Linked DNA regions of Lepisosteus oculatus. The protein of the gene in region 3 interacts with the protein of the main gene of each other region in a pairwise test. Links are inferred from orthologs where the notes say so. Each region holds a gene or a part of one and is shown on either strand. Other genes may lie near its edges. The genes, in order: znf512b, slc25a46 and fhl3a.

Evidence for each region.
Region 1: the proteins of fhl3a (region 3) and znf512b interact in binary tests that used the Homo sapiens proteins (3 or more experiments, as listed by UniProt). The two-hybrid records come from large-scale screens. The link is inferred for Lepisosteus oculatus from reciprocal best matches to the Homo sapiens genes FHL3 and ZNF512B.
Region 2: the proteins of fhl3a (region 3) and slc25a46 interact in binary tests that used the Homo sapiens proteins (3 or more experiments, as listed by UniProt). The two-hybrid records come from large-scale screens. The link is inferred for Lepisosteus oculatus from reciprocal best matches to the Homo sapiens genes FHL3 and SLC25A46.

The regions. Positions count from the first base shown.
Region 1 is NC_090711.1:6,043,305-6,047,058, reverse strand, and holds the start of znf512b (zinc finger protein 512B), read left to right. Parts: upstream 1-924; 5' UTR 925-1,235; intron 1,236-1,282; exon of another isoform or gene 1,283-1,443; intron 1,444-1,588; exon of another isoform or gene 1,589-1,740; intron 1,741-1,867; 5' UTR 1,868-2,048; exon of another isoform or gene 2,049-2,073; intron 2,074-3,425; 5' UTR 3,426-3,449; coding exon 3,450-3,573; intron 3,574-3,754. UniProt on the Homo sapiens protein: Involved in transcriptional regulation by repressing gene expression. Associates with the nucleosome remodeling and histone deacetylase (NuRD) complex, which promotes transcriptional repression by histone deacetylation and nucleosome remodeling.
Region 2 is NC_090698.1:29,843,354-29,847,107, forward strand, and holds the start of slc25a46 (mitochondrial outer membrane protein SLC25A46), read left to right. Parts: upstream 1-1,016; 5' UTR 1,017-1,182; coding exon 1,183-1,441; intron 1,442-3,754. Other genes in the region: tmem232 (transmembrane protein 232), read right to left, coding at 219-355. UniProt on the Homo sapiens protein: Transmembrane protein of the mitochondrial outer membrane that controls mitochondrial organization.
Region 3 is NC_090706.1:12,362,312-12,366,065, forward strand, and holds the start of fhl3a (four and a half LIM domains protein 3), read left to right. Parts: upstream 1-788; 5' UTR 789-876; coding exon 877-967; intron 968-3,754. UniProt on the Homo sapiens protein: Recruited by SOX15 to FOXK1 promoters where it acts as a transcriptional coactivator of FOXK1.

The DNA.
Region 1 (3,754 bases), on a different chromosome or scaffold from region 3:
AGATTTAATAAGGAGGCCTACACTGACTTCTGCATTTTTCCATACTTAAGATTTTATACAAATCGTACACTTTAAGCAATAGAATTAATTATACAGCAAAGCTTATGAAAACTTAAACAAAACTCACTGGGGAACAAATCTCTGGGGAAAGAAAACCTCGAAATAAGATACAGAAATAAGAATGCCCAAAGCTAATAACTAATTCATATCTATCATACAATAGAAGCCTAAAATTAGGAATGTTTTGCATCTATTAATAGCTTTCTGATGTTCCCGAAATTCGTTATGCAGTCGGAGAGAGGGGTTATCCGGTTATATTACTGGACTTTGATATTTTAGTATTTTCAAACTGAAGTATATTACTTGGGAAAAGACTAGATAAAACATTTAATAATGACAAAAGATTTCAGACATGTTGCTTATGTTTCTTTTTGAATGTATAAAAGGTTTAATTAATTAAGGTATACCTCTGTATGGCGGAACAGTACATTTTCCTGAAAATACTCCCATTGCTGTAAATATATGTTTGGAAGTTAAGTTACGTTCAGTTTCTCTCATGTGTTAAAAGATAGATGGATTTTTCCTGCTGATTAACATGTTGTACCCTGCTCAAAAACTATTTTTAAAACAGAATTTTGTTTGACTTCTGTTAAACATGTATTCCTACTGCAGCTAGAACTGTAGTCTTTTCCTGCATCTACTGAAAGTCCTGACATAAACGCAGGTGTTCAGATCTGAAGGATCATCTTTTTCCCTTTTTTTGGGTGGGGCTGTGTCGTTCCGTTTTAGGAAACAATTTGCCCCCCCCTGTGCTAAATTTGGCCTGGAGAGAGAAAAAAAATCCACTTAACACCCTTTAAAATGATCATTTTAAGGAAATTAAAAAGGGTTTGTCTCGCATATAATCTGTGTGCCACTACTTTGACTCGGAGCGCAGGATCATTAGATAAAGTCGAATTAAAATGGTTGTCTATTTTATAAAAGATCCAGTTCCCGTATTTAAAGTTAGATTAGAACAAAAGTAGACGTAAGAGGGTGTGGCGGCTCAATACAATACTATGTGTAATGCGTTCAAAAATAAGCATTAGATTGGAGAGAGAGAGAAAAAAAACTCAAAATCAAAACGTTTATTAACGATATTCGGCGACAGACAACCAGGCTGCATACATACAGACTGCCTAACCCTTCTCTGCTGAAGACTGAACTGCAGCACGTCGGTGGAAACGCACCAGCCGGTCAGTTTTGCATTGATTTTATTTTACTGAAAACTGAATTTAATTTGCATGATAAAAAATAATAACGCGAGAGTTTGCAAGTTGCCTTCTCGACTGTAGTTACAACTGTCAAAGGTAGAGTGGATACGCGCATGACCCAACACATTACTGTAATACTGTACACGGCCCCGGAGATTATATCTGTATTACAAAAATAAAATAATCAGAGGTAAGGAGCAGCAGACCGCAGCTAAAACTAGCGCGTTTGCACCTTTTTTTATATTTTCCTTCGTTTTATTTTCTTTTACTCTAGCGAACTGCCATGTAGCTGCCGAAAATTACTGCACTAAACATATTTTTCTCTCTCTTTGCAGCGCAAGGATTTTTTTTTACTCCTCCTTCGTATTATAAAGTCGCCATTTTGCTTCAGTGCCTATAAAAGCTTCTTGTATTTTTTATTTCCTTTATGGGACTGAGCCATTTCGCCAGAATTTTCCGTACCGTTCTTTTTCCACAGACGCCTGAGGTAAACGAAGTACCCCGTGTTTTGCATATTAATGAACCAAAGCGGAAAGTGGCTGGATTGAGGGGGGAAAAAAAACGTTCAGGTTGTGTTTTAATTTGCATTTTTCTTTCCTCCCTGGGAACCACAGCGGGTGTTGCGAGAGTGGCTACTGGCCGTGACGGCAGTCTGCTGGGATCACCTCCCGGGACAGCAGGTGTGATTGCCATGTAACAACCGGGGCGACAGCAAAGTGCACCGCCTGACCCCACGTGGGTGACCCGGTCCACCCGGCCACTAGTGTTGGTGTCGGGTGACTCCCAACACACCAGGTAGGTGTGGCCTACCTGATGCGAAGTGAGTGTGCTGTTGTGGTTTTTTTTGGGGGGGGTGGTTGCTTTAAATATGAATCCCCACAGTCCGGTTTCAGTCGTGCTAAGAACAAGAATGAACGTACAGTAGTTCAACCACAGCAGGTTCGGTGCTAAAGAGAGGTGGGGGAACTGAAACTGTATTCCTCAAGAGGTGGAAAGTTTACGTTTTTGTCATTGATTTCTAACATCTATATTTCTTAAATAGAATAGGAGTTTTCATTAAAATCCCAGATCCCTTAGTTTTCACACAACTTAATTGTTTTTGTGGTTGTCTTTGTTTTCTTAGAGTATATAGGATTGTTGTTACATAAACTTGAGTATTGAACACTGGAAAGATTATGTTTCTTCCTAAATTTTATGAGTAGTCCCAGAGAGTGCTAAGAGGTTCACAGCCCCCAAATATCTTAATCTCATGTAGGCCTTTACAGGGATCTTGTAATCCTGTATTTATTATGCTCTTAGGTCATCAATATATAAACAGATAGTTGTATAGTTTCATTTTCATTGTTTCAGAAGATTCCCCTTATCTTCTGTCTCGGTCTGCATAGAAAGAGAAACATTTTTTCCCAGTTAACATTTGGCACTAGTGTCTGGACCAGAGTGTCGGACTGAAGGCAGGGCTGCTTCAGTATCAGGAAGTACAGACAGGATATGGTAACTGCAAATGCCTCTGGGATAATTGCACACCGATTCACTGATGTAGAGGTCCCTTGTGTAACGCAAAGACACTACTTCACTGTATCTTCTGTCTGCTGCCGTCCTTATGACAGGGAGACCTCATGCATTACTGTATTAAAAGGTCAAAGGCTGGACCTTTATGTGTGTTAGAGATTCTGGGGGTTGCTTGTTCATTTTGTATGCTAATCTGACTCAGTAGTTGTATCTTTAATCTCTAGTTCGTACTTTTTGACCATAAAACTTAAGTTTGCATCAGCAGCTATCACTTGTCTCTGGAGATTAATTATTCATATCTCTTTAATAGTTAAAGCCGGTAAAACAATGTTCTGAGTGACAACCATACCTTTTTATTTGAATAATATACTCTACTAGCTATCTTTATTATACATTTTTTTCACATCATAGAACCAGCAGCTATTTTTAAATAGACATGGGGTGTCTGAGGATTATTGCCTATATCGAAATGTTCCTCTGTTACGTATTAATACAGTGTTTCTGGACAGCTGAACATAGGCAAAAAATTATTTCAACATGAATAATTGACTGGGTTTCATGTAGAAGCTGTATTAAAGGTGGCAGCTTCCTGACAGGTGTTTTGTGGACGGGTTACTGGGGTAGACGTGTGATTGACAGGTAATCTTTGATTTGGTGTTCCAGCTGCAGTCTGCCTGTATTCGAGGCATGGCAGACTCCAGCAGGGGACGGCTAGGCCATGTGCCCTCTGGTGGAATCCAGAGAAGGCTCAGCAAACCGGCAGGCCTGACAGCGACAGCAAAGAAGGTGGGCAGAGAAGACACTAAACTTGGTGAGTGGTCATTGATCCTGTTCTCTTTTGTTGCTACTGGAAGCTTTGTGCTGCACTATTGGTATTCCAGTCAAATGGATAGACTTTTAAACAGGAACCAGGAACCAGCTACAGTACATAATGATGTCTGATAGACTTTTCATTGCACACAGACAAGGGATATACAGTCCAAATGTATAAA
Region 2 (3,754 bases), on a different chromosome or scaffold from region 3:
TATACATATTTGCAAGTTGTGATACTACAGTATCTACATATTTGCAAGTTTTATATGACAAAATTTAGGTTACATTTTTAAAGCAGTCTCTGTCACAGGAAAAGGTTCCTAGTGTGGATGGTAACTGTTGGTGGTTAAAAGAACTGTGGACAAGAAGGATGTGACTTTGTAGACAAAACAGAATAATAAGAACATTTTTAATCTAAATGCTTCCTTACCTGCTAGGGCTAATCTTAGCATTTTGAGATGCTTCCAGTTCTTGAGCCTTTTTAAGCAATCTTCTTTGTAGATCTTCTTGATGGGTTTGGGATATAATCCCAAAGTTGTGAACTACTGGAATTTTGATGATGGGCATCTTCTTTTGCTAGTAGGTTAGATGTTTTATTTCTAAAAGAAGAAACATTGTGTTTACACAAATCATTAAAGTACTAATTAATCTGAGTTTTCAGGAGGTAATGTTTCTGTATAATATTCTTCTAGACAGCTATGTGCTGCGTACCCTACCCATCTTTTTAGATAAACCAAAAACCTTATTTTGAATGAATTTCAGTTTTTGGTTTGCCTTCTCAAGGAAAACGTTTTTATTTTTTAAATACATCCGAAATTACACTCTTACCTATTTTGATTTCTGACCAAAGCTTTCTAATAAAAAAACATTGAGTGCTATAGGGGGAAAAAATCATTTTAATTGTGAAAATGAAGCGTCTTTAGAATTTGTTTCACAAGATCCGATACTTCGAGCAGAAATCGTTTGTTTTGGTGTTGCCATGACTGCAGAGAAAATATTCAATCCAAAACACAAGTCATTACAACGCGGTAGTTTCTTTATCTTTAATCGTCAGAACATTTCATATAAATAGTTTCCAACTTACATAGTGGTGGAAGTTATTTCTTACCCGAAAGGCTGTCGATTAAAATAAATCATTTTCAGGTATGATGTTAGTACTACGATTCCCAGAGCCCTTTGCTTTAGAGGGAGGGGGAAGGAAGTACTTCCGGTTTTAGGGAAGGTTCGACAGTGCTGTTTCCTTGTTTCTTGTTTTGCTGGAAGAGCTTGCACGCTTTTTGCTGTATGTGTAATTTTGTCAACACATTTACAATAGTTTGAGATTAGTGAATAAATCCTTCCACTCTAGAGCTACTGTTCTGCTTTACCCCTGACAATCTTCGTTTGTGTACTCCATGACTTCACGCCGGCCCGAGAGCTTTGATGGCTTAGGTTATAGAGGTAGGGAGGATCCTGTTCATGGAGGGGGATACACGGGAAGGTCATTTAATAACTCATCTAGCGCAGATATGCAGCACTGGGTAACGACACCACCCGATATTCCTGGGAGCCGAAACCTGCACTGGGGAGAACGAACCCCACAATATGAATCAGCTGCATCCACAGTCCCCGGTTCCGAAGAGACTCAGCAGATTTCTACTGGACCATCTGGTGGTAAGGAGACAACAGTGCAGTGTAACAGTCAAGTGCATCTGATCATTATGACCGTTTAGAAGCAGTTTAACGTCCGCAGCAATATTTAATCCTTTCATTTAAAACTGTTCTTTTAAATACATGCATTTTTTCCGTAACCTTACCAACGATTTCAAAATACTTTAAAGGAATAATTTAAGGAAAAATGTATAATTGCTGACTTTATTAAGGCAGCTTTGGGTAGGCCCATTTCTGCCAAGGGAGCAAAAGACAACGTTGAACTAATTGGCTTAAAGAATAAATAGATTTTAAATAAGAGGCAAGACACTGCATGGTTCAAGTTAACGTAATTGGAGGTTTTCAGCATTTGGTGAATAACGAAAGCGTCAGGGGTTTGTCGTAGCATAGGAGCGGGAATAAACTAGCGAACCCTTAGGGATAATTAAGGGGCGTTTCTTTTATGGACGGGGTAAAAATCGAAGCAGGTCGGAAACGCAGTTTAAACAATATATTTGATTTTGTTAAGAGCTGGGAATTTAAAGGTATTCGTACGGATCACTGTAGGTCTGTCTTCGAACGTGGTATTGACCCAGTCTGTCTGTAGAACAGTAATGCTGATCAAGACACGCAACTAATGGTTCCGAAAATGCAAACACATTGGAATGGATTGAGTAAGTCTTTAAATGTACGTTTCGGGATTAAAACTGTTTTATCACTAAACAAAGAGTTCTAGAAGTGCCAAATGAGAAGATAATTGCACATACAATACAACTAAGGAGGACAGTATGCAGTTGATACTGTATAACAAATTTAAACAACAACAATAATAAATTAATTCTCAATAAATCCACCGATACTGCCATCCACTGCGATTTCCAGGACCAGCAGTACCTAGATCTGCCCGGGTCACTCGGCTCCAAAGTTGTTTAGGGAGAAAAGTGAATTAAAAATAAATGCTGAGTGAGAAAATCGATATTGTTGAGAAATCTCAGAAATCCATTTTAAGGATGCTGAGTCAGAAAAGCCTATCCCATCGCTTTATGCACATTTGTGCATATCTTTACACTTTTTATTCTCGATTTTAACCGCTTTTAAGAATGATGAATTGTCATTGAAATAATGTTGCAGTGATGAAAAACAGTAAATCAGTTGCATTAGTTATACAATATAATTATGTGTGGCTGATTATTTTTCTGTTTTTGATACTAAGTGTAGCACTGCAGCTTTGCATATCAAGGGCATTGGGCCTGAATTCACATGTTTGTCTGTCTGCCCAGTGATGGACTGGCGTTCAGTAAAGGGTGTACCCTGCCTTGCACCTGTTGTTTGGCAGGATAGGCTTCAGCTCTCTGAGGACCCTGAGTTGGAAGAAGTGGTTAAAAATGAATGAATAGATGGATACATTAAAAGGGGACTCCTATATCAATGCCTAATACATCACCAACAGTATTTTGGGCATTTGTGTAGGTCACTAGGAGCACAAGTCAGCCCTAGAAAGCACAGGTGATAACTTATGCCTCTAAGTATGGTTACAAATGAGAGGTTACAAAACTGGTGAAAATCAGGATTTGACCGAGCAGTTACGTCAATAAGTGAAATAATTAGTCATAACCCCCAACTTGTAAGTGATTTCTAGCAATATACCCGAGTGGCTGGTATAATTAGAAGCACAGCTTTGGTGAGAGGAGTAATAATCCAGGCACACATGATTAAACAAAAAAGAATTACAATGACAAAACACAAACTATACAGTATTCTCTATATACAGTATACACACACCTGAAGAAGGCTCCATGACTGAAACGTGTTTTGTTTCTTTTTTTTCAGCATGGAATAAACTTGTTCCATTGCAGCCTATGCATGCTGACGCAGCTACCCACCTGAACTACTATGTACAGTATTTACAAACAAGGTGTTTCAGAGGCCTAACATTCTGGTCACCTAGAAAACCCTAGACTGCTGCTAAGCATTAAACTCTTAATGCCTACAGAGGCCACATAAGAGATTAGCTGCCTTCTAATGAAATACAATGCAACCTGCAGTTAAACCTCTCTCTGCACCCCGGATGCCACAAAATAAATGGGAGCCTATATCCCTATCCATTAAAATGAACCCTAAGCACAAAAGACATTTCTAACTGAGGTATGTTTCACTCAGGAAACACAAGTTCCCTAAAAACACACACCAGCGATCTCTCTCTAACAAGGTGCACATATTTACCTCCAGTCAGGTTTAATTTGGATGAACATGAAGTAGGGCTCTCGCCTGGTGCAAGCTTCAAGTCCCATCTCCTCCGGAAATCTGTCTCTCCTCTTCTTCTTCCCTGCTTCCTCT
Region 3 (3,754 bases):
ACTTTCATCCTGTTGACTGATCCTTCAACATACTTCAGGTCAAGGTGTTTACGATTGTTTGATTTAATTCACTGCTACTATAATTGTTACACAGTGAAAATAACAAGGATGCCAGAATCGTTAACTCTGCCCCAGGCAGACAAAAACAGCTTGACTTTAAAAGGGGGCTAAATAAAATCTAAAAGTGATGTCTTTAATCTGATTTTGGTCACTGTATAAATTCACTTTCAAATAGTTTGTATGAAATGCATTGCATGCCTATTTTCATAACATTTATACTGCCATAATAAAGCGATTAAAATACTTCAAAAGTAAATATAGACAAATATTATTTTGGTGATCTTGCAATACTTTTCAAAACGTTTCTGTTTCAAAATCTACACACACGTTGAAAGTTTTAAAACAAGCTTAGTGTTTCCAGAGTGCCAGAAATGAAAACGAATAACTTGCCACAGCGCTAAATTTAAGATGAACGCTTTAAGATAAAGCTTGTTAAGTCGTTTGCCCAGTGTCTCCGAATAAATACATAACAATTCACCATTGGAGTCTTTATACCAACATCACTTGAGATAACAGACGGTGAGCAATGAAGACCATGCCATCCCGAAGGAGTCGTTCGCTTGTCCCAGGCAAGATACCTGCCTCAAGCCTTACGAAGATGTTTTCCCCTTTAACGTCTCTCGCCTCGGGGTACAATTGCAGCTCGTCTGTATAACGCTCGTGTTACGTTGGCTGCATGTCAAAGGTTTGGGAACAGGGGCGGGCTCTTAAGAGTCAGACTTCCTCTGGAGCGTACGAGCCACATTCTCTCTGATCGTCAGCAAGAGCAGACCGAGCAGAGCTTGCAGCTGGACGGAGTTGCGAGTTCCCGTTTTCATGTCTGTAGACGCAGTAGCCATAGAAAGGAAGAAGGCAACTTTTCCACTCTACCAAGTGCGCACGACAGAGGCTTCTGACGTTGTGCCGGGTAAGTGTCAACGAGTCAGTTTAACAGGTCATTTGTCTACGAATTTTTTAATTAAAAACTATACATGTTTTTTTTTTGTTCGCTTTTACTGCTACTGGGTTACCATTTTCCTGATTGCAAGTAATCGTAATCCGAAACGGAGCTCTTTGCGCATTGGCCAGAGGTAGAAACGTCAACTTTTTTTCGGGAAGAAAAAATGTTAGTACCTTTAGAACACTTCGACTGGAAAAGACAGAATGAAAAACAGTCGATGACAAACGCCAGAATTATGAAGAACGACAACACTAAAAACTTGAAACGGTTTTTTGACTCGAATCATTTTGGCATGAGCATTGCGGGCTGAGTGTTGATCTTGGAGTTGTTTGATTGTGTCGAACTGCCGACATAAAATACATCATTACAAAAATGTCATAGCATCTGCAGTGCTCCTTTTTGTAGAAGCACGACTTGCTGTTGAATGAGGAGGAAAACCAATTTAATGGTCCATTCATTAGACTGGGGCGCAACGCTATCGGCTCACATATCAAACCATTCATTTTCATACGGATGATGATGATGATTATAATTACAAAGGTGTTAGGCGCTGTGAGCTGGTTTTAGCAGTTAACAACTCTCGGTGGTGGAAGAATAGTGTTTAATATAGTAGTACATAATAGTATATAATTGTTTTTCTGTGCCAGGAAAGAAAATACTTCACTTCTTGTCCTGTTAGCATCTATCTATTCGCACGGCCTGTATTTATTTTTAAAACAATAGTTTAAGACTCCAATATAAAACGATGAAAGGTGGATGGAGGGCAGGCAGGGCCTCTTCCGTCAAGGGGACCTTGCGTGGACAACGGAATGAAATGACCCAAGAGCTACAGACCCAGGCTCCGCACAGCAGGTCTGCTTGACTCGCTTCTGCGTTCCGCAGGGTGGCGCTGTGCGGCTGTTGCGCTGTCACGGTGATAAAGTCGCTGATACGGTTTTGCTCTTCTGTTTTACGTGCCAAGCGGGACCTTCGTGGACGCATTTCGTGTAAAATGCTTTTTGCTATTGTACACTGTCACGAATGAAGTGTTTACTAAGGATTGCTTTGTTTTAGTAATAAGTTTGAATTAAAAATTCGGAGAAGGCGCTGTTCATTATAGGAGGTGTACTGTCCCAGATATGCCGACTAAATACCCTCTGGATTTGTGCATAAAATCCCTAATTAATTCAATGGGTTAAGCACTTTTTTTCTCCTCTCCGCTACCTGATCTGTTGTGTAAGGGCGCAACCGACCCGTACTGGGCGCACTGAGTCCCACCTTTGGGATATAAATAGCTAAATATTAATAAGTACTATTATTTGAGAGCCTAGAGATGGACACTGTAGTTTTGCTACAGCTTGGTGCGTTGATTTATTTGTTTTTTTAAACTTCACTGATCTCTTGTAAAAGCTAATGATGAAATAAAGAATAGTTATTAATTAAAGCCTTATTGCAAGATGTGTTTCGAGTTTATGTTTGATGAGATTAAGAATGGATGAAAATTTAGAGACATTATTTGATAGCACTAAGAAGTCCATAAAAATGTTATTTTATAAAATAATCTCCAACAGTGAATAAAATCTCAATACCTGCAGTTTATATTAAACCGAGAGATTTTACTTTAAAGCATGTCAAAAGGGAGAGTAATTTAGTTTCAATTGCACTTCTTACAAACGTAAAATGTGTCTGAATGTTGTTGGTCTTCTGTGATGTGTAGAAAGAAATATTGCTTTTTCTTGGCTGAATTTTGTTTTATTTTTTCCTTTAATGCTAATTAGACTCCAGGGCTGAAAAGCAGACAGAGTTTGAACTGACTGAGGGGCCAGTGCAGGAAAAAGAGGTTATATCTGTCATGATTAAGCCATTCTCCAACTGGTGAGGATGGAATTTGCGCTTTCCTCTTTTAAACCCTGAAGAATAGCCTTTTTTTCTTTGGAAGTGGTACATCCTGCACAGCATAACAGCAGCTACACTTTAACCTCTGTGACCTAAGTAATCACAAACATCTTCCTTTTTTAAACAAGGAAACAGGTAGAAAGAAAGAAACGGTATTGTGCATCTTAGACCAAGTAAAGAGCAGAGGACTGTCACATACAGATAACGTTTAGTGTAACGAACATGAAACCCATTTAGATCTCACCAACTGTACATATGGAGCACGACAATTTCAGAATGACTTCAGGGTGTAGCATTGCCTGCCTGCTGATTTCTGTTGCAGAAAATGGAAAGTTTGAGTCTGATGTCTAATGTGCAAGCACTGGAAGTTTAGTCTCATTTGGTACAGAGTTAATGCTGATGGTGATCACGTAACAATTTGAGTTTCACCAGATGTGTAAAAGTATGTATTAACCTTCAGTTGTTGATCTGATTCATCCATTGTACTTGTCCGCAAAGCTAGAAGAACATAAGTCCAGTGGCTATATTGTACACTTCTCAATAATTATGGCTACAGTCCCTTAATGAAATGCTTCTCTGTTAAGATGGGTGCAAGTGACTCTGTGTTTCTGCATTCATGTGAATTTCATCGTGGTGTGTCAGATTTTCTTGTGCTGTACTATAGGAAAGCAATTTTTGAGTACCTATTTGATAATGGAATGCATACATTTGAAACCCAAAATAGAAGTATTTTTAGTTTTTTTTTTCAGCCCACTACAATAGCTCGCATGATTCCATCAAGTCCTGACCACAATCACATATATGAATGCTCTGTAGCTTGGTGAAGAATAGTATCGTACAATGACTGGATGGCAGCCAGAGTTCTGGACATAAGAGATT